Diceros bicornis minor: one gene and its partner. The protein of the gene in region 1 purifies or fractionates together with the protein of each later gene. This does not show direct contact. Links are inferred from orthologs where the notes say so. Each region holds a gene or a part of one and is shown in the gene's direction. Other genes may lie near its edges.

Region 1 (11,179 bases):
AAAAGGCTCCTGTGTTTACGCAGGCTGACCAGTCCAAAATCTGCAGAGCAGGCTGGAGACCCGGAGGAGAAGTGATGCCGCAATCCTGAGTCTGAGTGCAGACTGCAGGCAGAATTCCTTCTTCCTCAAAGGATCGCAGTCTTTTCTCTTAAGATCTTCAACTGATTGTATGAGGCCAACCCACATTATGGAGAATAATCTGCCTTACTCAAAGTCTACTGATTTAAATGTTAATCTCATTTAAAAAGTACCTTCACAGCAACACTCAGAGTGGCCTTTGACCAAATATCTGTGCTGTGGCCTGACCAAGTTGACACGTAAAATTAACCACTGCGGGGACTCCCAAGCATGTATGCTCCATTTCTCCAGTTCTGTCTCTTATGGGAATTTTCATGTTCTTTAAAATTGCTCTTACGTCACCTCACCATCTTCCCTGTGCTATAGTTTATAAGATAAAATTTATTTTCTGAGTTCACGCATGCTCACACTGTTTCGAGCTCAGCAAATCTCCTTTCTCTCAGAGCCCACTTTCTGTCCTAACAGCCCTTCATTCAAGACCATTGTTCTAACTTGAAATTCAGAGCTGGCTGATGACGCCTTATTTTGTGGCCCTATTTGCCACTGGGAAAACTACGACGGGCAAATGTTGAGGGAATGGTAGTGGCTGACAGACAGCAGGGGTCTTTTTAGAAATACGTAACAGTCTTCAGGGCGTGGATGCCCGCACTAGCACAGGCAGAGGTTGTCAGCAGGGCTACACCTGTGCCGGTGAGTATCAGCTCAGGGACAGCCCCAGGGAAATGGAAACTCACAGAGAAGAAGAGGCAATTATACCTTAAAAATGGCAACTACTGTGTAAGTTGCCTTTGGATCTAAGGAACAGAAAAGCCATATTAAATTGGCTTCAACAACGAGGCATTTCACCATTGGGCTGGTTGCTTCAGTGGATGTCTTCCTTCTATCTCTGGCTGTGCCATCCTCAGCTCCCTCATAGTCACAAAATGGCCACAGCAGCTCCAGGCATCAAGCCTGGGCTATACCTATTGACAGCAAAGGACCAAACATTATGGAATTTCTTTCTTAGGAGCACAGACTTTTTTTTCTGTGATGCTCTGGTCTTATAACCAGACCTTACTCACCAGCCCACTCCTTAAACAATCATTTTCAAGACAACAGGATCTTATGGATTGGCTTGTATAAACCAGAATACATCCCTGGAGTTGGAAAGGGTTAACTTTTCCAGACTCCTTTGGGGAAGGGGCAGATACTTGTACAAAACTGGAGTCCTTTTAGAAAGGAAGAAGGTGGCCAAGGGATGCTGGTCTGACCACCTGTGGGACTTGCTCCAATCCCGTGAAATTCTGTGCTCCTCGGAGACCAGAGTACATGCTTAGCCTTTTGCAGTTCACATCTTGACGTGAATGAGAAGGCATGGGAGAAAGATTAGCAGGTATTGGGAGAGAGGAGAGAAAAGGAGCAAGGTCAGATGGAAGACGGTGTACTGAGGACGCTGGGAGGGCGGGAAGCCCAATGTCAGGATCGTCCTAGGTCAAGGGCACCAAAATCCCGCTAACTTGATACTGCACTCTTTTTTTTCATTTTTAATTACAAAGTTATATATGCTTGTTGGAAAAAAAGCCAATCAACACAGAAAAGCATGATACACAAAACACAAGTCCTCTGTGTTAATGTAGAAAATAAAGGTCCTCTGTGTGCTCCTGCTGCAGACTGTGGTTTCAACACAGCTCTTCAGATTTGTCTACGCATGTACCAATAAGTGCACATATCTATTTAAAGACAGGTAATCCTGTTTATACCTTCGACAACTCACCTAATGTCTGATGGAATAATATTCTGCTGGGAATTTTTTACAGTTTCCAAGCACGAGGAATTAACTCCAGGAAGCCGTTCCAGGCGACAGGAGGAGTCAGATCAGGGCTGACCAGTGAGAGTCTGCAGTGATGGATGTGTCCTGTTTTGTGCTGTCCCCACATGTGGCTGTCAAGCCCTTAAAATGCCGCTAGTGCAGCTGGAACTGAATGGTGGATTTTAGTGAATTTAAACAATGCTCCTTTTCTCTCCTCTCTCCCACTACTTGCCAATCTTTCTCCCATGCCTTCTCATCCACGTCAAGATGTGAACTGCAAAAGGCTAAGCAGGTACTCTGCTCTGCGATGTGCACCGACTTTAACGGGAGGGGGGGGAGCAGGTCCCCCAGGTGGTCACATGTGGCTGGTGGCTGCTGTGTTGGTCAGTGCAGGCTGGACAGACAGAAAGTGGCAGCGATCTCTGCAGCCTAAGAGAACCTTTGTGCCAGGGCAGGACTGTGCCTGGTCCCCACGAATGTAGGAGAAGGGAGACCACCTCCCCACAGCCCCGGGGGGATCAGCTCTCATGCTGTACCCGGTTTGGGGCTCGGGGCCGGTAGCTGGGTGAGAGTCTGGAGGCGTTCGGGCCCAGTGACCCATGCAGGATTCAGGGGTCATGCACTGTTGTCGCTGCCTGGCTTTGGGTTTTCCAATAGAACTTCCAATAGACTTGAAATGTTTGGATCTCTGTCCCTACACTTTGTCCCTACACTTTCACGTCTCATGTCTGGATTTTGGGGTTTAGAGCACCCTTCTGGCACCTCCTCACTCTGCTCCCACCCGGGAACCGGGGCTTGTCCAGGTCCCTGGCACTTGCAGGTGAGTGAGGGAAGCATGTCCGCCCTGCCCTGTTTCTTTCCCCTCACCCTTCAGTGGCTATTGTCTTTGTAGCTTACACAGTCATTGGCTTCCCAAGGTGGACTTTTTCTTGGTGTCTTGTCGTTTATTCAGTTAGCAAGAATTTGTGGCAAATTTGGGTTTGGAACCCAGTGCCCTGAGTTCCCCTCTGCTTTACAAAAGGAGCTTCAGGAGTTGATGGCGTAATTGTTTTTCTTCAGGGCACAATTTTAAATTGTCATTCTCCAGGCTTCTTCGGAGGGGGCGTGTGTGAAGGGTAGTCATTATGTTGTACTTTTGTGACCTTCCTTGTTTATTATTTGTGTTGATTTTGATATTCTCACATCTGGAACAGAATTTTTTTCAGAGTGCAGAATAACACACAAAACATGGTGATTTTTTTCTTGACTAGTTTTCTTTTTTTTGTGTGTGTGAGGAAGATCAGCCCTGAGCTAACATCCATGCTAATCCTCCTCTTTTTTTTTTTTTTGCTGAGGAAGACTGGCTCTGAGCTAACATCTATTGCCAATCCTCCTCCTTTTTTTTTTTGCCCCCAAAACCCCAGTAGATAGTTGTATGTCATAGCTGCACATCCTTCTAGTTGCTGTATGTGGGACTCGGCCTCAGCATGGCTGGAGAAGCGGTGCATCAGTGCACGCCCAGGATCTGAACCCGGGCGGCCAGTAGCGGAGCGCGTGCACTTAACCGCTAAACCACGGGGCCGGCCCTTGCCTAGTTTTCATACATGATTAGAGTATCTTTCCAAAATTCTGGAGCAGTGTCTGAACACTGCTTTCTGCTTTGCTCGTTCTGTCAGATATTGTTTGATCTGAGCCTCCCAGCCAAGGGAATGGGCCAGCTGAGAGATGCAGCTGGGTGTCAGGGTGGTGACAGCCGGGCACCACGTCTCTCTCCCGAGCCTCCCTGTGACTGATGCCCTTAAATAATTGCAACCAGCTCAGCTGCATGAATTTTTCAAAACATTGCTTAAATTCCCTAGTTCACTACAAACCTATTAGAATGGCTTAAACAAATAAAACACAACTGATTCAGCCACGTGCTTGGGGAGGAGGCTCGGGGACTGGAGACGGGTGCATTGCTGGTGGGAACGCAAAATGGTGTGGCCACCTTGGCAGTTTGGCAGTTTCTTAAGAAGGTAAACATACTCTTCCCACATGATCCAGCCATTCCACTTTTAGGTATTTACCCAAGAGAAGTGAAAACATACTCACACAAAAATCTGTTTTTGAATGTTTATAGTGGCTTTACTGACAATTGCCAAAAACTGGAAACAGCCCAAATGTGTGGGCGTGGATAAACACCCTGTGATGCGTCCACTCCACTGGCTGACCCAGCAACAAGAAGGAACAAAGCCCACCGACAAAACAGGCACGCAGCTCATGTGCGCCCCAAGGGGTGAACGGACCTGAGGACAAGCTGCGGCCGCAGGATCCCGCTTACGTGACTCCCTGGAAAAGGCACGACTTTAGTGGCAGAGCGCTGGCCCGTGGATGCCAGCATCTGGGTGGGGACAGAGGCTGATCGTGCGGTGGCACAAGGAGGACTTTGGGGGCGATGGAGGTGTTCTGCGTCTCGACTGTGGCGGTGGCTGCGTGGCGACCGTGCTTGTGAGAACTCACAGACCTGCGCGTGAGAAAGGCTGGATGTGTACCTCAAGTAAATGACCTGCCTCACTCAGCTCAGCCGAATACAAACAGCAACAGTCCGCAGTCAACAGCTCTAAAGCATAAACTACAGGTCAGTGCAGCCTAACCGTTCGCTGTATTAGAAAGGAATGATATGTATGCCAGACAGGAAAGTGTGAAAAGTCTGTAATTGTTCTAGGAGGGAAAAAACATTCACTATTAGTTGTTTTGATCATTTGGAAATGAAAAATTAAATCTCATCTTAGAAGCCAGAAGCCTCAAGTTCAAGCATCAATCGCACCACTGACCACTTGCCTGGATCTTTAAAAAGACCTAATTCTGACCGACGACTGTTTCTTCGTCTGTAAAACGACATTCAGCCGTGCCTGCCGCCTTCACGGGACGTTCTGATGATCATTCAAACGTGAGGATTTCTTTCAGGGCCTACTCTAGAGACGCAGTGTTAGTTGGTTTAACTTATTGTTTAATTTATTTCTTTACTCTTATGAGTAATGCACGTTCATGGCAAAAAAATAAAAATTCAAATGCTGTAGAAAGATGTAAAGGAAAAAGGAAAAGATCCCTCATCCTCAAAAAAAGAGAAAGAATCCCTGGTTCAGCCAATGAGCTCCTTTCCTTTTGAGCCTGACTGATCTGCTCTCTGCGGGCTCAGCACCTGGCGTCCCGGCTGCTCCTGCGTGTACCCTGCCCCTGACGACCTTGAGACTCAGCTCTGCTGTCCCACCCTGGCTTCAGGAGGAGCCACTGCCTCTCTTCCCCCCTTGGAGCATTCTGCATGTAATTCTCTGACAACAGTAGTACCAGGACCAACCACCAACACCAGCTTCTCTGTTCGAAAGGCCCCATATCCATCTATTTGCTCAGTCCTTATGACAACTCTTTACAATAGGCGCCATTGTTGTCCCCACTTTACAGATAAGGAAACCGAGGCACAGAGAGACAGTCACTTGCCAACGCCCCTCTGCTGGACTTGGACACCTGTCCTTCTCGCTCCAGGGTTCCTGCACTTGCCTGGGGTGCTGGGCGCCTCTTGCCTTCCAAACTCTGTAGAAGTCATGCTATTGTCAGAGCATGGTCCTGCAGCCACTGCCAGAGCGAGGAAAGCAGATCTGGTGCTTCTCTCTCCTCCAGCTCCTCCTGGGGAAGGCAAGGTGCTTTTCAGCCTTGTGTTTGTGCCTGGAACACACCAGGTACTCTACAGGTGTCGGTTGAGCCAGTGAGGCCGTGAGTCAGGGAGTAGAGTTTGTGCCTACCCAAAGGAATTGAAATCAGGACCCCGAAGAGCTGTCTGCACACCCATGTCCTCTGCAGCGTTATTCACGATAGCCAAGGTATGGAAACGACCTGAGTGTCCATCAGTGGAAGCACGGATAAAGACGATGTGGTATATACACATACACAATGGGATATTATCCAGCCATGAGAAACAAGGACATCCTGCCATTTGCGACGACATGGATGGACCTTGAGGACATTATGTAAAGTGAACTAAGACAAATTCTGTACGATATCAGTTATATGAAGAATCTAAAATAGTCATACCCATAGAAACAGAGAGTAGAATGGCAGTTGCCAGGGCTGGGGAGAGGGAGGAAGGGGAGCCATTAGTCAAAGGGCACGAAGTTTCCTTCACACAGGATGACTAAGTCCTGGAGAGCGACTGTCCGGCACAGAGCCTGTCGTCCATAACACTGTCCTGTTCACGTAATGTCCACTAAAAGGGTAGGTCTCACGTTAAGTGTTCTTACCACACACACAACATCATCATAATAATAACGATAACAACAATAATAACAAAGGGGTGGGTGGGAGGAAAGTCTGGGTGGTGATAAACGTGTTTATGGCCTTCACGGTGGTGATGGGTTCACGGTGGTGATGGGTTCATAGGTGCATACTTACCTCTATAAGATGGTTTAAAAAAAAAATAAGAGATGGGGCCAGCCTGGTGGCATAGCAGTTAACTTTGTGTGCTCCGCTTCAGCAGCCTGGGGTTCGCAGGTTCGGATCCTGGGTGTGGACCAACACACCACTTGTCAAGCCATGCTGTGGCGGCGTCCCATATAGAGTAGAGGAAGATGGGCACAGATGTTAGCCCAGGGCCAGTCTTCCTCAGCAAAAAAAAAAAAGAGAGAGACAGAGAGAGGATTGGCAAGAGATGTTAGCTCAGGGCTAATCATCCTCACAAAAAAAATAAATAAATAAGAGGTGATGAGAGCATCTGTACCTCCTGCTGACCCCTCCACGTGACGCATGAAAGGGCATGGGCTCCGTGCTTGGACGCTGGGCCAAGCTCTCGCTCTACTTCCCGCCCTGGGGGATCCCCCGTTGCACTCTCTCTTCTGTCACTACCACGCTCACATGGCTGCTGTGAGAGTGAGAGGGAACACCCCTCAAGCACTGACCGAGTTTCCCCCACTCCCTGCCCTGACGGCCACCAAGCAGAGGCCAGACTTCTCCAGCCACCACCAGGCTCAACTTTGAAAACACTGTGCATTCGGTTTGGAAAACCCGGAGCTGTGTGTCACCCTCAGTCTCTGCCTCGGCCTGTGATGCAAGCGCGTTCAGTCCACACTGAGACCACATCCTTCCTGCCCCTGCTGGGCTGTGACCGCTATAAATTCATCAAGTTTCCTTTCCGGCTGTTCCTGAGACCACATCTGGGTGAGTCCAGCTCCACGGAGCAGGATGACGGAAAGGGCCGGGGAATAATGGGGAGGGGTGTCGAGGGCCAGACTCGCCTTGGTTAACGGACTTGGGATTTCTTCTGCCAGCCTCCAAGTCTGTCCTCCAACAATGATTCTGGAATGTTCTTTTATGTTTATCATTTGGACTCTATGTGTGCAAGTGTTGGGGGGGTGCCGAGGACACGGGCAGCAACCACGGCTTACCCCATGACTCCAGCATTCCACCAGGGAGCGGGTGGGTGAGACGTGTGTGGGGAAATGAGGCAAAGGCCCAGAGGGGTAAGCGTCAGGGCAGAGTGCACTGGGGTTAAGGTCAGGGGAGCACAGAGAGGCGGAGTCCTGCTGTGGATGAGAGATTGATGGAGCAGGACCTGGGAGGGTCTGCAGAGCTGGTGGATCTGTCTGGAGACCCCTCGACCCCCCACCAAATACATTAGGGGGTAGACTTGGGGTTGTGCGAGGCCAGGAGTGGAGCGGCACGAGTGGCGATAGGAGAAGGAGAGATGAGTGTGGTTGAGGCGTCTCAAACGTCAGACCGTGGTCGTTATAAATTCCGCTTTGCTCCACTGCTTCACAGCGCCCCTGCCTCCTGTTAGCATCATCGGTGGCTTTGGCTGATGTGCTTTTCCAAATTCAGGAATACGAAGCACTCAAGGCCAAACAAATCCAGCGTGTTCATCTGTCCAAAACCAGTTGAAGTGGCAGACTGAAAGACACAGCAGCTTTCCACTCTCTGGGGAACTTGAAGTCCGGTTAGGAAAATGGAGTGGGGGACGCCACAGTGAGAAGCTGTGTGTGATAAACGCTTTCCTTTTAATGGTATATTCTATTGTCTTTGATCACTTTTGTTTCTATCTGACTACGATACACAGTTAAGTGGTGGAAGAAATGGTCTCCTATCTTTTCAGGCTGTGAAAAGTGCAGGGGCAGCGGCGTGGGCTCAGAAACGGATGACCCTGGTCTAAATCCTGGCTTCGCCCCTTCCTGGCTGCGAAACTCTGGGCAATTCTCTGAGCGTCTCTAAGACAGTCTCTACTTCCATAAAGCGGAGCTAGGAATAGAGGCACCTCGTAGGGCTTTGGGAGGTTAGATGAGGAAAAGCATCAGTGCAGTGCCCAGCCCACGAGAAGCTCTCCGTAAATGTCCTTTCTAATACCTATCACAATTACAGATTTTACCAGGAGACATTAAAGAGGGATATGTTTCCACTCTTCCCCCTACGCGCCCCAAGCCCCGTCTCATTTCTGTTTCCGTCAATCAGTGGATTGATAGAAGAGCAGTCGCAGAGCAGCCCCTCCTCCGCCTGCCTCAATGTTCTCCCTCTGTCTCTAGCCGTGCACTGCTCTGCTATCACCACAGTCATTCCCTGGCCTCCTTCTTTCATCCCCCATCCATCTTTCCTCGGGTCAAAACAGAAACAAGGAAGCAGAGTCTTTCAATTGGAAGGAACTTAAAGGCCATCCTTCCCACTCCGTGATTTTACAGACTTGGAAACTGAGGTGAGGGACAGTGAAGAGCTTGTCAGAGGTCATAGCCCAGTAACCAGTGGGACCAGGTGCCCCCGGCCATATGTCGAGGTGGCGCCGTGAAGCAGTGCGGGCTTCCATCATGCTGTTAATGCGGTCCAGTCTGTGGTTTTAATTATTGTTTCTCTCCACAGGGAAACTTTCTTCCATGGCTCAGGACACAGTCCTGGGCAGAGCCGGCAGGAAAGTTTCTGGTAAGTATTTGGCTCACATTTCAAAACCAAAGATGGCGACTTGTTACAGCCCAGTGATGTTTCCTCCTTGCAGTCTTCTGGGTTTTTGATAGTTTAGTTCTCTTCAGGGTGGACTTTTAAAAACACGTTCCTCACCCATATGCTGTTTTCACCACCGGACTTCCCAGTGTGGACGTATGCCCAAGCTGCCTGACCAGGGCTGCAGGAGAGCATGGCAGGCGTCCGCTGCAAGCTGGCGCGCTACCTGGAGGACCTGGAGGACGCAGACCTGAAGAAATTCAAGATGCACTTGGAAGACTATCCTCCTCAGAAGGGCACCCCGCTCCCTCGGGGTCAAACAGAGAAAGCAGATCCTGTGGATCTCGCCACCCTGATGATTGACTTCAACGGGCAGGAGAAGGCGTGGGCCATGGCAGTGTGGATTTTTGCTGCGATCAACAGGAGAGACCTCCACGAGAAAGCTAAGAGGGATGAGCCAGAGTGGGGTGAGTGGAAACAAGAAGGTATTTTTAAAATAGTGATAAAATAGATGTAGCTTAAAATTTACCGTATTTAAGTGTATGATTCAGTAGTGCTAAGCACATTCACGTTGTTGTGCAATCAATCTCCAGAACTCTTTTTCATCTTGCAAAACTCCACACCCATTAAGCAACAATTCCTCATTCGCCTCTCCCCTCAGCCCCTGGCAAACACCACTTTCTGTCTCTATGAATTTGATCATTCCGCAGACTTCTTATAAATGGAATCATAAAGTACTTGTCTTTTTCTGTCTGGCTTATTTCACTTAGTATAATATCCTCAGGCTTCATCTATGTTGTCACATGTGACAGGATTTCATTCCTTTTTAAGGCTGAATAATATTCCATGGTATGTATGTAGCACATTTTGTTATCCATCAATGGACATTCAGACTGCTTCTAGCTTTTGATTATGGTGAACAATGCTGCTATGAACATGGGTGTACAAATCTCTTTGAGACCTTGCTTTCATTTCCTTTGGGTATATTCCCAGAAGTAGAATTACTGGATTATATGGTAATTCTATGTTTCATAATATTTTCCATAGTGGCTCCACCATTTCACATTCCCACCCACAGTGTACACCCAAGGGTTCTAACTTCTCCACATCCTCGCCAACAAGTATGTTACGGGGTTTTTTTTTGGATAGTAGCCATCGTATGGGGTGTGAGATGGTATCTCATTGTGGTTTTGATTTGCATTTCCCTGATGACTAGTGACATCGAGTGTCTTTTCATGTTCTTGTTGGCCGTCTGTTTACCTTTGGAGAAATGTCTATTCAAGTCCTTTTCCCATGTTTTAATTGGGTTTTGTTGTTATTGCTGTTGACTCGTAGGAGTTCTTCACATATCCTGGATATGAACCTCTTATCAGATGTATGATCTGCAAATATTTTCTCCCATTTCGTGGGGTCCTTTTCACTCTGTTGATAGTTTCCTTTAATGTGTCAAAGCTAGTATGTTTGGTGTTTTTTTGTTTTTTGTTTTTGTGAGGAAGATCAGCCCTGAGCCAACATCTGCCAATCCTCCTCTTTTTGCTGAGGAAGACTGGCCCTGGGCTAAAATCCGTGCCCATCTTCCTCCCCTTTATGTAGGACACCGCCACAGCATGGCCTGACAAGCGGTGCGTTGGTGCGTGCCCGGATCTGAACCCTGGTCGCCAGCAGTGGAGTGCGCACAGTTAACCGCTACGCCACGGGGCCAGCCCAGTATGTTTGTTTTTTAATCAATTCTTTTATTATCTTGGCTTCATCCTCTCTCTTCTTCTCATGACGGTACTATGAGAAGATGGAGGAAAGCACTTTGCTTTTTTCTAGTTCCTTTAAAACCCCACGTCAGGGCTCATCTACCCCTAGGAACCTCCCCTGTTTAGCTTCACTTTATCTGAATCTCTCATCCAGCTCCTCATGTGTCTGTCTGCACAGCCAGCAAGCTTGAGTGTCTGCTTCCCATGGCTCAGGGGGCCAGCTCTCACCTCACAGAAAAGCCTTTCCTGTGGCCATGACTTTGGGCACTGGAATGGTGAAAGAAATTTCCTGCATCCTGTGGGCATGCTCGGGGTCACGCTCTTTCTTTTTTTTTTTTTTTTAAATTTATTTATTTAGTGTGTTTGTGCGTGTGTGAGGAAGATCAGCCCTGAGCTAACATCCACGCCAATCCTCCTCTTTTTGCTGAGGAAGACTGGCCCTGAGCTAACATCCGTGCCGATCTTCCTCCACTTTATGTGGGACGCCACCACAGCATGGCCGGAGAAGCGGTGCCTCGGTGCGCGCCCGGGATCCGAACCCAGGCCGCCAGGAGCGGAGCGCGCGCACTTAACCGCTACGCCACGGGACCGGCCCCAACACGCTCTTCCTTAAGCTTGGTGTTCTGAGCAAGGGAGGGGC
Region 2 (11,717 bases), on another chromosome or scaffold:
GGCCTCTGGTTGCTGTGGAGCAGTAGTGAGCTGGTGTGGGATGTCAGAGAAGCAGGGTGAGGATGGTGTCTGTGAGCAGTGTAATGGGGTGGGGGTGAGGGTGGCAGCTATGGGAGATTAGTTACATCTTGAGAGGTTGATCAAATAAGGAAAAGTGGAAGAAAATGGGAAGCTGTGATACTGTAATAGCATGAGCACACCTAGCTCCCAGGTCTTGGTTTTTAAATACTATTCTCCTCTAAAAGGAACCAGGGCTCTTAGAGAAATGGCCGACTTCAGGACTGGGGTGCGGATGGTACAAGGTAAATCTGAAGATCTTGCTGTGCTAAAAAGTTAAGTGCTCAAAGAACAATGGGGACATGTCAAACAAATACAGAAAACATCTTGAAGGGCCCCTCCTGGCTAATCTTGAGACAATTTGTACATCAAAAATAAATAATATTAATAACAGATTATAACCCACTGGGTAAAATAGGAATTCATGAGTCCACACTGATTAAAATAAAATGCTAAATAAAAACAGGAGGAAACGTCTCTTTATGGTAAAGTAACAACTGATAAATGTAGTGGGAATAATGGCATTCACCATTTGGCAACCACCGTGTTGATAATTAATCCAGTGAAGCAACATCGATTAATGTTAAAACTAGTGTGTGGAATAAACAATAATGTGCAACAAAAATTTCACAATATTAAAAAAAAAGATATTTTTGCATGCAAAAAAAAAAAAGAAAATGGCCATTTGGCAACCACTGCAGTAATAGCTGTTTTAGGCGAGGATCATCATTGAATGCTAAAACTAGACAGTAGAAATTTGATGAAAAACAGAATATTTACATAGTCTCCAAGTATCTAATAAGTATCCATAAGATATTTATTAATTTCAAAGAGAAAAAAAAATAGTAATTTGGCAGTGGATAGGCCTGGCAGAGACCATCTTAACCACATGACTGAAGTAGACATCACCAGTAGAGAGACAAATAGAGACCACATGCTTCTGATACAATGTACTGAGGGGGAAACAACATCAATTTCTGCTAAAACACATAGCGAGAATCTAATCACAAGAAAACATCAAACAAATCCAAATTGAGGGACAGTCTACAAAATAAATGGCCCATAGTCTTCAAAATGTCGAGGTCATAAAAGTTAAAGAAAAACAGAGAAACTTCCAGGTTAAAGGAGACTAAAGATACATGACAGGCAAATTCAACATCTGATCTGGTATTAGATGGTGGACCAGAAAAAAAATGTCTTACTATTTATTTACTTTTAAAATAAATTATATTAGTGGGACAACTAGCAAAATTTACATAAAGTCTATAGATAAGATAATAGTGCTATTATCAGGGTTAATTTCCTGATCTGGATAATTATATTGTGATTATGTAAGAGTGTCCTTGTTTTTGGGAAATACACACTGAAGTATTCATCATGTCTATAACTTACTCTCAAGCAGTTCACAAAAAAATGAGAGAGAGAATGATAAAGCAAATGTGGTAAAATGTTAACGTTTGGAGAATCTGGGTGAAAGGTGTATAGGAATTCTTTGTACTACTTTTGCAACTTTTCTTTAAGTCTGACATAATTTAAAAAAAAAAGCCAAAAAAGCCAAAAAACTCTCTGAGCTGTAACTTCCTCCCTAATACATCAGAATTGATGTACAGATCTAAGACATACCAAATGAGTTAGTACTCTATAAACCATGAAGTTATAGTTATAAATGTTAATTATTGTTTAATGTGAGCTATTGTATGTACTCCATGGAGGCTTTGTGAATGGAGTAAATATGCTACAGCTGAGCCCTGATAATTTAGCAGATTAGAAATATATTTCAGAAACTACAGCCATCATGGTGATCCCTTCTGAAAACAAGAAAAGTGGTCTAACAAACCAAAAAAAAAAAAAACTAGTGTGTGGAAGTTTGATGAGGAACAGACCATTGATATTGTCTCAAAATCTTCCCTACAAAATACTGGTTACAAAAGGGAAAAGTTGGAGTGGAGAAACCTCGCAGACCCCACTTATTTGAGTGATTACAGTTAACATCCCCAGTGTTGGAACAAATCAAAATTGTGTAGCACCTAAACTGAGGGATGTTCTTCAAAATATCTGGCCAATAATCTTCAAATGTGTCAAGTTATTGAAAATCAAGGAGGTACATAACTGTTTCAGGTTGAAGGACCCTAAGAAGACGTGAGAACTAAATGCGACATGTGATCCCAGCTAAGCCAGGCCTGGACTCTGACCTACGGAAACTGAGATAATAAGTGTGTTGTTTTAAACCACTAAGTTTGTGCTAATTTGTTACGCAGCACAGAACACTAATACATAGGTCACCTTACTCATGAACATAGATACAAAAACCTTGAACAGAGGATTAACAAATAGAATCTACCAATTCATGAAAATGATACTACATCACAAACAAGATAGGTTTATTCAAGGAATAGGAGATTGGTTTAAAATGTGACCATCATCAATAATTAACCACAATAACAGAATAATGAAGAAAAATTTCATGATTACCTTAAAAGATACAGAAACAGCTGATCACACTCAGTATCCATTTATGATTACAACTCTGAAAAAAATTATGCCTTTAGCAAACATCCTACTTAGTGGTGAATTATTCAAAGCTTTCCCTCTTCATGCAGGAATGAGCTAAGAATACCTACTCACCCCACTTCTAGTCAACATTTTACTGGAGGTGCTAGCTAGTTCAAAAGGTAAGAAATAAAAGGCATAAGGATTGGAAAGGAAAAAATAAGATGGATTTTTTTCAAATGACTTGAATGTGTTTATGGAAAATCCAAAGAACCTCTATAAAAGACTTTAAGTTTAAAGAGGTTCCTGGATACAAGACCAACATATGAATATGAATTGTATTTTTACCTACCAGCATCAAACATAAAATGAAATTTTAAAAAGACTCCATGGATTAGGAGAAACTGAAGAACTTGGGAGAACTTTACTGACAGAAGCAGTGGGATGATAGGATTCCTGTTCTGCAGAATCACCTCTGAGGTGACTTCAAGAAACACCTCCGTAAATAGACCGCAGGTATCAAATAGCTGCAAGAGTTGGTACCTCTAGTGGCTGGGATCCCTTATCCCGCTGTCAAAGAATGATTATCCTTAATGTCTTTGTGTGGCCTGAGCATACATGTATGTTCATTTTTTCAACCATTTGGACATAAATGGGGTGCATACTATAGACGGACTCTTCAGCACGTTGCTTTTTTGACTTACCGGTAATATATCTCAGAGATCAATCCATATTACAAGCACATTTAGTACATTCTCGTTTCTTAAACTTTTTAGGTTGAGATAATTTCAAACTTACGGAAGAGTTGCAGGAATAGTACAAGCACCTTCGCCCGGATGCACCAACTGCTGACACTGGGCTGCATTTGCTTCCTATTTGCCCTGTTGCTCCTGCTTCCTTCCTTTCCTCATGTGGGTCTGGGTCTGTGCGTGTTTTCCTGAACCATTTGAGAGCAGGTTGCATAGATCATACCCCTTCACCCCTAAATCCTTCATTGTGTATTTCCTGAGAACAAGGGCATTCTCTTTCATAAACAGAGCACCATTTTATAGAATTCAGAAGATTCAACATTGATACAAAACTATTCATATATCATCCATATTCAAATTTCATCAATTGTCCCAATAATGTTCTTTTATAGCAATTTTTTTCCTGATCCAGGATCCCAACCAGGATTGGGTATTGTATTTAATTGTCTTGTTTCTCTAGTCTCCTTTCAATCTAGAATAGCTCTCAGCCTTCTTTCCTGACATTTACATTTTTGAAAAGGTTTTTTCTTTTATTACCTCATTCATTTTACTTGATGCAGGGTTGAGAAAAATTGGATTGGCCCAAAAGGCTCTTTCTTTACCTTCTTCCTACAGATTTTGAGCACAAAGGAAGAACAGGCTGGTGGCAGCTTGAAGCTCCAGACAAGACCACTTACTCCCCCAGGCTGCTCTCACTGCTACATGATTGATTATGTTCTCTGACCCCTTTTCACCTGGATAGAGCATGGGGTGGGGGGTGGTCATTGAGGGGGATTCCCTCTCTACTGAAGTGTTTTTTGTTTTTTGTTTTTTGCTGAGGAAGATTACCCCAATCTTCCTCATTTCTTTTTCCTTGAGGAAGATTAGCCCTGAGCTATCATCTGTGCCAATTCTCCTCTACTTTATATGTGGGTCACTGCCACAGCATGGCTGATGAGTGGTGTAGGTCCACGCCTGGGATCCAAACCCACAAATCTGGGCCCCTGAAGCAGAATGCGCAGAACTCAACTGCTTTACCGTGGGGCCGGCCCCCTGAAGTGCTTTCTTAAGCACAGTTCTCTATGAAGAAAATGAGAGATCAGGAGATCATATGTGCTCTGCTACTTCTCATCTTATAAATCTTCTATGATAGACCCTTTATATTTGCCCTGTGGCACTAGTGGGTTGTGTGTGCGTGTGTGTGCATGTGTGTGTGTCTGCACCCTCTTTGCACTATAGTTGATGACCATGAAGGGAAATACTCCAGTCTATTGCAATGCTATGCATTTTTGGAAGCAGCAAAACTCAACTGCCTCCCTCCCCACGGTAGGAAACATTCCCTCAGGGTCCTAGGAGTTGTGCGATCTCTGGGAGGGTGGATGAATGCTCAAAGTGGGCAGGGTTGCCAGAGTCTCCACTGACTTAGTGGAGGTCAATCTTCTGTGGATGTGTGTACTATTTATGCACAAGAGAAACTGAGTGGTGGAAGAAGAGAGGTTATATGTTCAATTCATTCTCTGAAATCAATCTAGTTTTTAAGCAACCAAGTAACAGTAACTCATGGCAACATGCTAGAATCTTGAAGGTGAATGGAAAAGATTATGATGCATGGAAAAATCCAAATTGGAATGTGCTGAAGTAGATATAAAAGTCAGTGTGCAGCTACTGAAAGGAGGGAGGAACATATAAATTGTTTATTACAAACAAAAAGAGCCAAAGTAACAGGCTCGGAGAAATGAAGTTAAAAGGATTAGACAGAGCTCCTGAATAGAAAGTCCAACGTGGTTTCACTAAAATGACTTCGCAGCAGCCTTTCCCTGCAGATGACTTCAGCATCTACTATGTCCTGTAAGCCTCTGTCTACTACAGCTTTCTAGATAAGCGGAGCTGGGGGGCAGGAGGAGGCCACGCTCCAGGGAGTCAGGGAGCCACATTTGGAAGGGTCCCCTTAGGTTTGACCCATTGGAGGTCCCCCAAAAGGAAGGCAATAGATATTCCTAAAGAATGACAGCCCAGGGCCTCCCATTACTTCGGTGAGTAAGAGTGAAAATGACCATCCATGTAACTAACAGCACTTTCAAACTGGCAGAAGTGTAAGTAGAGGGACTGAGGTGATGCAGCCATCTCATGGAGACCCAATTTTAGAAACTGTAGCTGAAAAGAAAAGTCATAAAGTATAAAGAGGCTGGGCTGCTTGGCACAATAGCCAAATGACCAAAGGAAGCTCCGCGTAGGGAGAGGAGGACTCCTTGGAAGCCCGTGGCGTTCTCTCCTCTGTGCAGGTCTAGTTGGTTCACGTGAACGCCCAAATTCTAGAGCTGACTGTGAAGGACATCCTACATCAGTCACCTCTTTAAAATTTTGTTTAGGTTACCATTTATTAACTATGTAATCTGTGCCACGTGCCTTGCATCGTTTAATCTCATCCTCACTACAACCCTATAAGGCAGGTAGCATTATTCCTATTTTATAGATGAGAAACAGACAGAAGAGTCCCAGAAAATGTAACTACTAAGTGGCAGAGTCATGATTTTAATTAAGATATATTTTTTACGAAGTCTGTGCTCTTTATCTCTCTCTCTATGTATGTATACGCACACATATATGTGCTCTTAATATATGTATATATGCTCCTAATATGTGTATATATTTGCTCTCAATATGTATAGATGCCTTATCTATGTATGTGTATACACACACACACATATACACTCTTAGTATATGATATATAAACCCAAATAACTCTTTACAGACAGGTGATAGGTAGGTAGGTAGATAAATAATCCTCTCTACATACCACTGCTTATCCCTTAGTACATTACCATGGGTAAATGATTAAGCCACTTAAACATGACATCTCATCTGTATAACAGGATTTAAAAATAAGTGTACCTACCCCAGAGAATTGTTGAATGAATTAAATGGGACAATCCATGTTAAATACTTAATGTAGTGCCAGGCTCAGTACATGATAGCTATTGTTAATAACTACTATCTATTGTTATTATAACTAGTAATAACAATTAAATTACTTGCCCAGCAATAAAGGAAATACTTTGGTATTTACAGAGAAAGCTTGCATTTTTAGCCAAGCAATTCTGGGGACTCTGAAAAGCTGACATTTTCTGTCCTCTGGCTTTGGTTTTAGGAAGAAACTTTGATCTCTGCTTATTTGGCTGCAGGCCCTGTTCAAAGAGTTCCAGACTAAATAATGCAATTTTAGACTTCAAGTTCAAATACTTCAGTCCTTGGTAGGGAGTGTATTGGACGGAAGTCTTATTAAGAACTCTCCTTTGTGTCATGAGGTAGAGAGGGCCTTATCGTCATTTGTACATATTTGGGTCCCTCAAAATGCCTTCCTTTCTTTCCACTTGGCACCAACACAGCGCAGAGTGCATGGATCCCTCTGACACCTCTCCAGGTAGCGAGGCTGATGAGAACCAGTCCCATTTCCAGGGTGTGACTGGCCTGCGGAACCTGGGCAACACATGCTACATGAATGCCATCTTACAGTGTCTCTGCAGCATCTCGCCACTGGTGGAATACTTTCTCTCTGGAAAGTACATTACCGCTCTTCGAAAGTAAGACCACATGCGCTCCCTGCAGCCCAGCCCCCAGTCCCGGCTCCCCCAAGGTGAGGGTAGGGAAGGAACCCTCTGGAGTCCCTTTTACCAGCTACATGAGTCAGCAGAGGCTGCAGCGCCCCAGGTACCATTTCTAGTGTGAGTAAAGCAGGAAGGTCAACCAAGAGAGAATGAAGCTTCATTTTTGGTCTGGTGCCACATGCTTGGGTTTTCAGAGGCCTTCTTTTTATTAAATCAGCCAGAAACACTCCCCTTCCTTCTTCCAAGGGACTGCGGTGAGGTTGCCACTGCTTTTGCCTACGTGATGACAGACATGTGGCTTGGAGACGCAGACTGCGTCTCACCAGAAATATTTCGGTCAGCTCTTGGCAACCTCTACCCGGCATTTATGAAAAAGACACAGCAAGATGCTCAGGAATTCTTGATTCATGTCCTGAATGAGCTTCATGAGGCTCTGAAAAAGGTAAGTCGAACTAATGGCGTTGAAATAGGATAGATCTTCAACTCTACCAGCAACTTTCATTTTTCATTCTTCCATTTGTTCAGTCAATATGGCATACACTGTGCCAGGTACAGGTGCTGGGGGTACGATGGGGAACACTTAAGTTACTATTTGAATAGGTCTATATTTACCAAACGTGGCTGGTCATCAGAATCACCTGGGAAGATTTTTGCCACACAGATTCTAAGGCCCGCACTCCATTGTTACCGAATTAGAATGTCTGGTGGTGACTTCTGGGAAAGCTTACTTGGTATTTTCAGTGATCAGCAGGTGTGGGAACCACTAATCGAGTTCCCTTTGCAAATAACAGCTGCATGGACTGTTTTTCTAAAGTGGAAATCACATTTTTTATAAAAATATATTCCTCACGAGATATAACATATAGAAATTTACAACTTAAAATAAATGTTCTTGGTAACTACACACCCAGGAAAATATTAAGCTTGGTATTAGATGAAAGGACAGATCTATATACTGCAAAGTTTCACCTTCATCCCAAACCTGCCTAATCTGAGTTCTTCATTGGATTAGGACAGACATTTAATAAAACATGAAATCGCCAGTTACTACGGGTTTTGTCTTTATTTGCAAGACTCATTGCCGTCAGCCTTGATCTGTGGAGAGACCCACACTCTCCACAGACATGTCCTTGACTTTATGCAGGGTCCTTGTGCTGATGTTATCTCCCCTCATACCTCACATCCAGGAAATACAGCAAGATCACTAACTACAGCCATTAATCATTCTCATCTGCAGTCCGCAGTTTTCATGTTTGCTAATAATGAGATAATCACGGCAGCACTTTTGTGGGCCGGAGGGGAGGGTGATGGTCAGTAAAAATCACTCAGTCCTCATCTGCAGCCACTCTGAAGTAGATAGCATTCTGGTTCCCAAACCAAACTCGGAATTAGGGGCATTAAATTACTGTCAGGGTGGAACACACAGGGTGTGACGACAGAAGCAAGCCAGAGGGGAGCATGTGTACAGCTCCAGATCAGAGCTGACGCAGAGCGAGCGTGTCTTCTACGGAGGCTGTAAAATCACCGAGTCAGGGTGTGCTCCCGGAAATGCTGTTCCTGCACGTGAGCCAGATGCAAACCAGGCCACAAGGCTGGTTAAACAAGGCTGCCTGGGCCGGCCCCGTGGCCTAGTGGTTAGGTTCAGTGCACTCTGCTTCCACGGCCGGTGTTCAGTTCCTGGGCACAGACCTACACCACTCGTCAGCGGCCATGCTGTGGCAGTGACTCACATACAAAGTAGAGGAAGATTGGCACAGATGTTAGCTCAGTGCCAATTTTCCTCAGCAAAAAAAAAACAACAAAAACAAAAAATCAAGCTACCTTTGGAACTTAAGATTTGCTCTTTTACAGAAGTGTTTCCTAACTAATAATGAAAGGGGAGGCTAGGGAACACAACTTGAAGGGACTGGGGGAGAGATCAGATTCCTTTATTTTACCTCTAGATCAACTTGCACGACTGAAAGCTAGTTTAATAGCTTACTACCCTCTTCCCGGGAAAAACTGGCTCCAGGACCTTATATCACATTATCACAGGCTATCAGCTTAAGGGGCCATGGGCACGGGTTACAAGAGTTAGGGTGTAATCATTCCTCAGCTGCACTTAAGGGGGAAAATAACTGAACTATCAGATATCACACACAGTATATGCTCTTAAGAGATCTTATTCTATTTATTGTCTGAATCCAAAGCTAAATGTTTTCTGGTAGCAATGTATCATTCTGATAGAAAAAATTTAAACATTAAAAAATTTTTTGATGGGCCGGCCCCGTGGCTTAGCGGTTAAGTGCGTGCGCTCCACTGCTGGCGGCCCAGGGTTCGGATCCCTGGCACGCACCGATGCACCACTTGTCTGGCCATGCTGAGGCCGCGTCCCACGTACAGCAACTGGAAGGATGTACAACTATCTACTGGGGCTTTGGGGGAAAAATAAATAAATAAATAAAATCATTAAAAAAAAATTTTTTTTTGATAATCAATAGTTGATTTGGAGCGAATTTGTTCTTTGATTCAGTACCACGGCAGGTCATATGAGAAAGGATCTATTCCCAGATGCTGCAGGAAGGCGATCGCCAGTGAGACCTCCATCATCACCCGGCTGTTCGAAGGGCAGCTCAGTTACAGGGTCACCTGTCTGAAGTGTGAGAACTGCACCTACAAGAACGAAGTCTTCACCGTCCTCTCCCTCCCCATTCCATCTGAATCCCAGTGCTCGCTTCAGGTGGGCATCCTTATTCCTGGATACTTCCATGGTCTTGCTCTACCCCAGGATTTCCTCAGGGCTGTTTCCTACATGTTCTAGTATGAGGGGGGCTGCTTTATAACTTAAAAAAAATTGGAAGCCCATGATGACAATGTTTTATAGAAAAGTCACACGCAGACAAAAATTACTGTGAATTTAGTTGTATTTCAAAATGTACTCAATAAAACAGCCTCATTGTAAAACTGAAAAGATAGTGGGGTTTCTTCAGTCTATTGAGATGGCTTGGTGCATATAGGGAATTTGTACTTTTTGGCAAAAATTTGATGGCCTTTCCTCACCTCAGAGGTCTGTAGGCCCAGATTGGGAACTAGATATAAAAGATTCATCATCTTGAGGTCTTGCATTTTTGACAAAAGCTGTGAAATGTGTTGGGAAGACAGAATAGAATCTAGTGCCTTAGTTTACTTCTTGAGTTTTCTTCACCATAATACCTGAAGTTCATCTATAGAGCCAGCCCTGATGTCCTAGTGGTTAAAGTTTGGCATGCTCCACTTCAGCAGCCCGGGTTTGGTTCCGGGGCGTGGAACCACACCACTCATCTGTCAGTAGCCATTCTGTGGTGGCAGCTCACATAGAAGAAAAAGAAGGACTGACAACTAGAATATACAACTATGTATTGGGGCTTTTGGGAGGGGGAAAAAAAGAGAGGAAGATTGGCAACAGATTTTAGCTCAGGGAGAATCTTTCCCAGCAAAAAAAAAAAGTTCATCTGTAAAGGGGGGGTGGGGGGGTCGGCAGTAGAAGACGGGGAACAGGTGGGAGGCAGGGAGCCTCACAGAATAATACACACTTATATTTTTCTTCCTAAATTATGAAAGCATATCTCTTGCTAAAAGTTTTCACATACCAGAATTGGAGAATAGAATTCTACTGCTTATTCAGACTGGGCTTTGTTCTCAGATCAGACTGCTCAAGATTGCTGGAAAGGAATTCCAAAGACTAAATGAGGTGCTGGCATGTCTACTGAAAACAGAATCTATGCTCATCTTCCTCTTTAGGTTAATGGTGTGCAGAGCCGGGGGGCCTGGCTACACTGAGGAGGTCTCCTGCGGGCATGGGCTCTAATTCTCTCTGTTCTGCTGCTTTTATTATGGGTCACCCCAAACTCTGAGATATGGTGCTTTTCCAATCACCAGATCACTTTTGTGATGAGGTGAATAGCGAAAAGCAGCCGCCTGACTGGTTGGTGGAAATTGCACAGTCAATATTCTGAAATAAACCAGAAACGCTACAATGCTGATTCAGAGATTAGAAGTGAGATGGGCACTTGGATCCATTTCAGTAACTAAATGAGAAGGAAGCAGCTCCTTTGCCAGGTAGGTGTTAACGCCTATCCAGGCTGCAGCTGTGACATTGCTGTCTCCTGGGCTTGGTGACTTTGAGAAAAGTCAAATTACATTGCCAGAGTTCTTCCAAAGTTCTCATATAAACAGAGAGCCCAGGGTGCAGGTGATCTGATTTGGTGACCAAATGCTTTTTTCCCCAACAGGACTGCCTCCAGTGTTTTTTTCAACAAGACACACTGACCTGGAACAACCGAATTCACTGTTCCTTTTGTGAAACCAAGCAAGAAACAGCTGTGAGGGCCAGTATTTCCAAAGCACCAAAAATAGTTATCTTTCACTTAAAAAGGTAAGGATTTTGACATTTTGTGAGCAGATTTTTTTGAATAATATTATCAAGATACAAGTTACATACCATGCAATTGAATGGTATTTGGTATATTACATTAATTTTTAAAAATTTGCGATAAAATATATATAGCAAAATTTGCCATTTTAACCATTCTAAGTGTATAATTCATCAGCATTAATTTCATTCACAATGTTGTGCAACAATCACCCCTATTTCCAAAACTTTTTTGTCACCCCAAACAGAAACTCTGTAACCATTAAGCAGTTACTCGCCATTCCTCCTTCCCCAGCCCCTGGTAACCTCGAACTTACTTTCTGTGTCTATAAATTTGTCTATTCTAGGTACTTCATATAAGAAGAATCATACAATATTTGTCCTTTTTGCTGGCCTATTTCACTTGGCTAATGTTTTCAGGGTTCATCCACATTGTGAGGTGTACCA

What was found.
Region 2: the proteins of NLRP3 (region 1) and USP50 purify together in Homo sapiens (affinity purification with western blotting; 3 studies listed by BioGRID). This does not show direct contact. The link is inferred for Diceros bicornis minor from reciprocal best matches to the Homo sapiens genes NLRP3 and USP50.

Annotation. Positions count from the first base shown.
Region 1 is NC_080740.1:929,643-940,821, forward strand, and holds the start of NLRP3 (NACHT, LRR and PYD domains-containing protein 3), read left to right. Parts: upstream 1-6,979; 5' UTR 6,980-7,033; intron 7,034-8,716; 5' UTR 8,717-8,776; exon of another isoform or gene 8,777-8,943; 5' UTR 8,944-8,987; coding exon 8,988-9,261; intron 9,262-11,179. UniProt on the Homo sapiens protein: Sensor component of the NLRP3 inflammasome, which mediates inflammasome activation in response to defects in membrane integrity, leading to secretion of inflammatory cytokines IL1B and IL18 and pyroptosis.
Region 2 is NC_080744.1:46,742,337-46,754,053, reverse strand, and holds the start of USP50 (inactive ubiquitin carboxyl-terminal hydrolase 50), read left to right. Parts: upstream 1-6,635; 5' UTR 6,636-6,671; coding exon 6,672-6,856; intron 6,857-7,126; coding exon 7,127-7,322; intron 7,323-9,392; coding exon 9,393-9,599; intron 9,600-11,130; coding exon 11,131-11,273; intron 11,274-11,717. UniProt on the Homo sapiens protein: Deubiquitinating enzyme that removes conjugated ubiquitin from specific proteins to regulate different cellular processes. Regulates the inflammasome signaling pathway by deubiquitinating 'Lys-63'-linked polyubiquitination of the PYCARD/ASC adapter protein.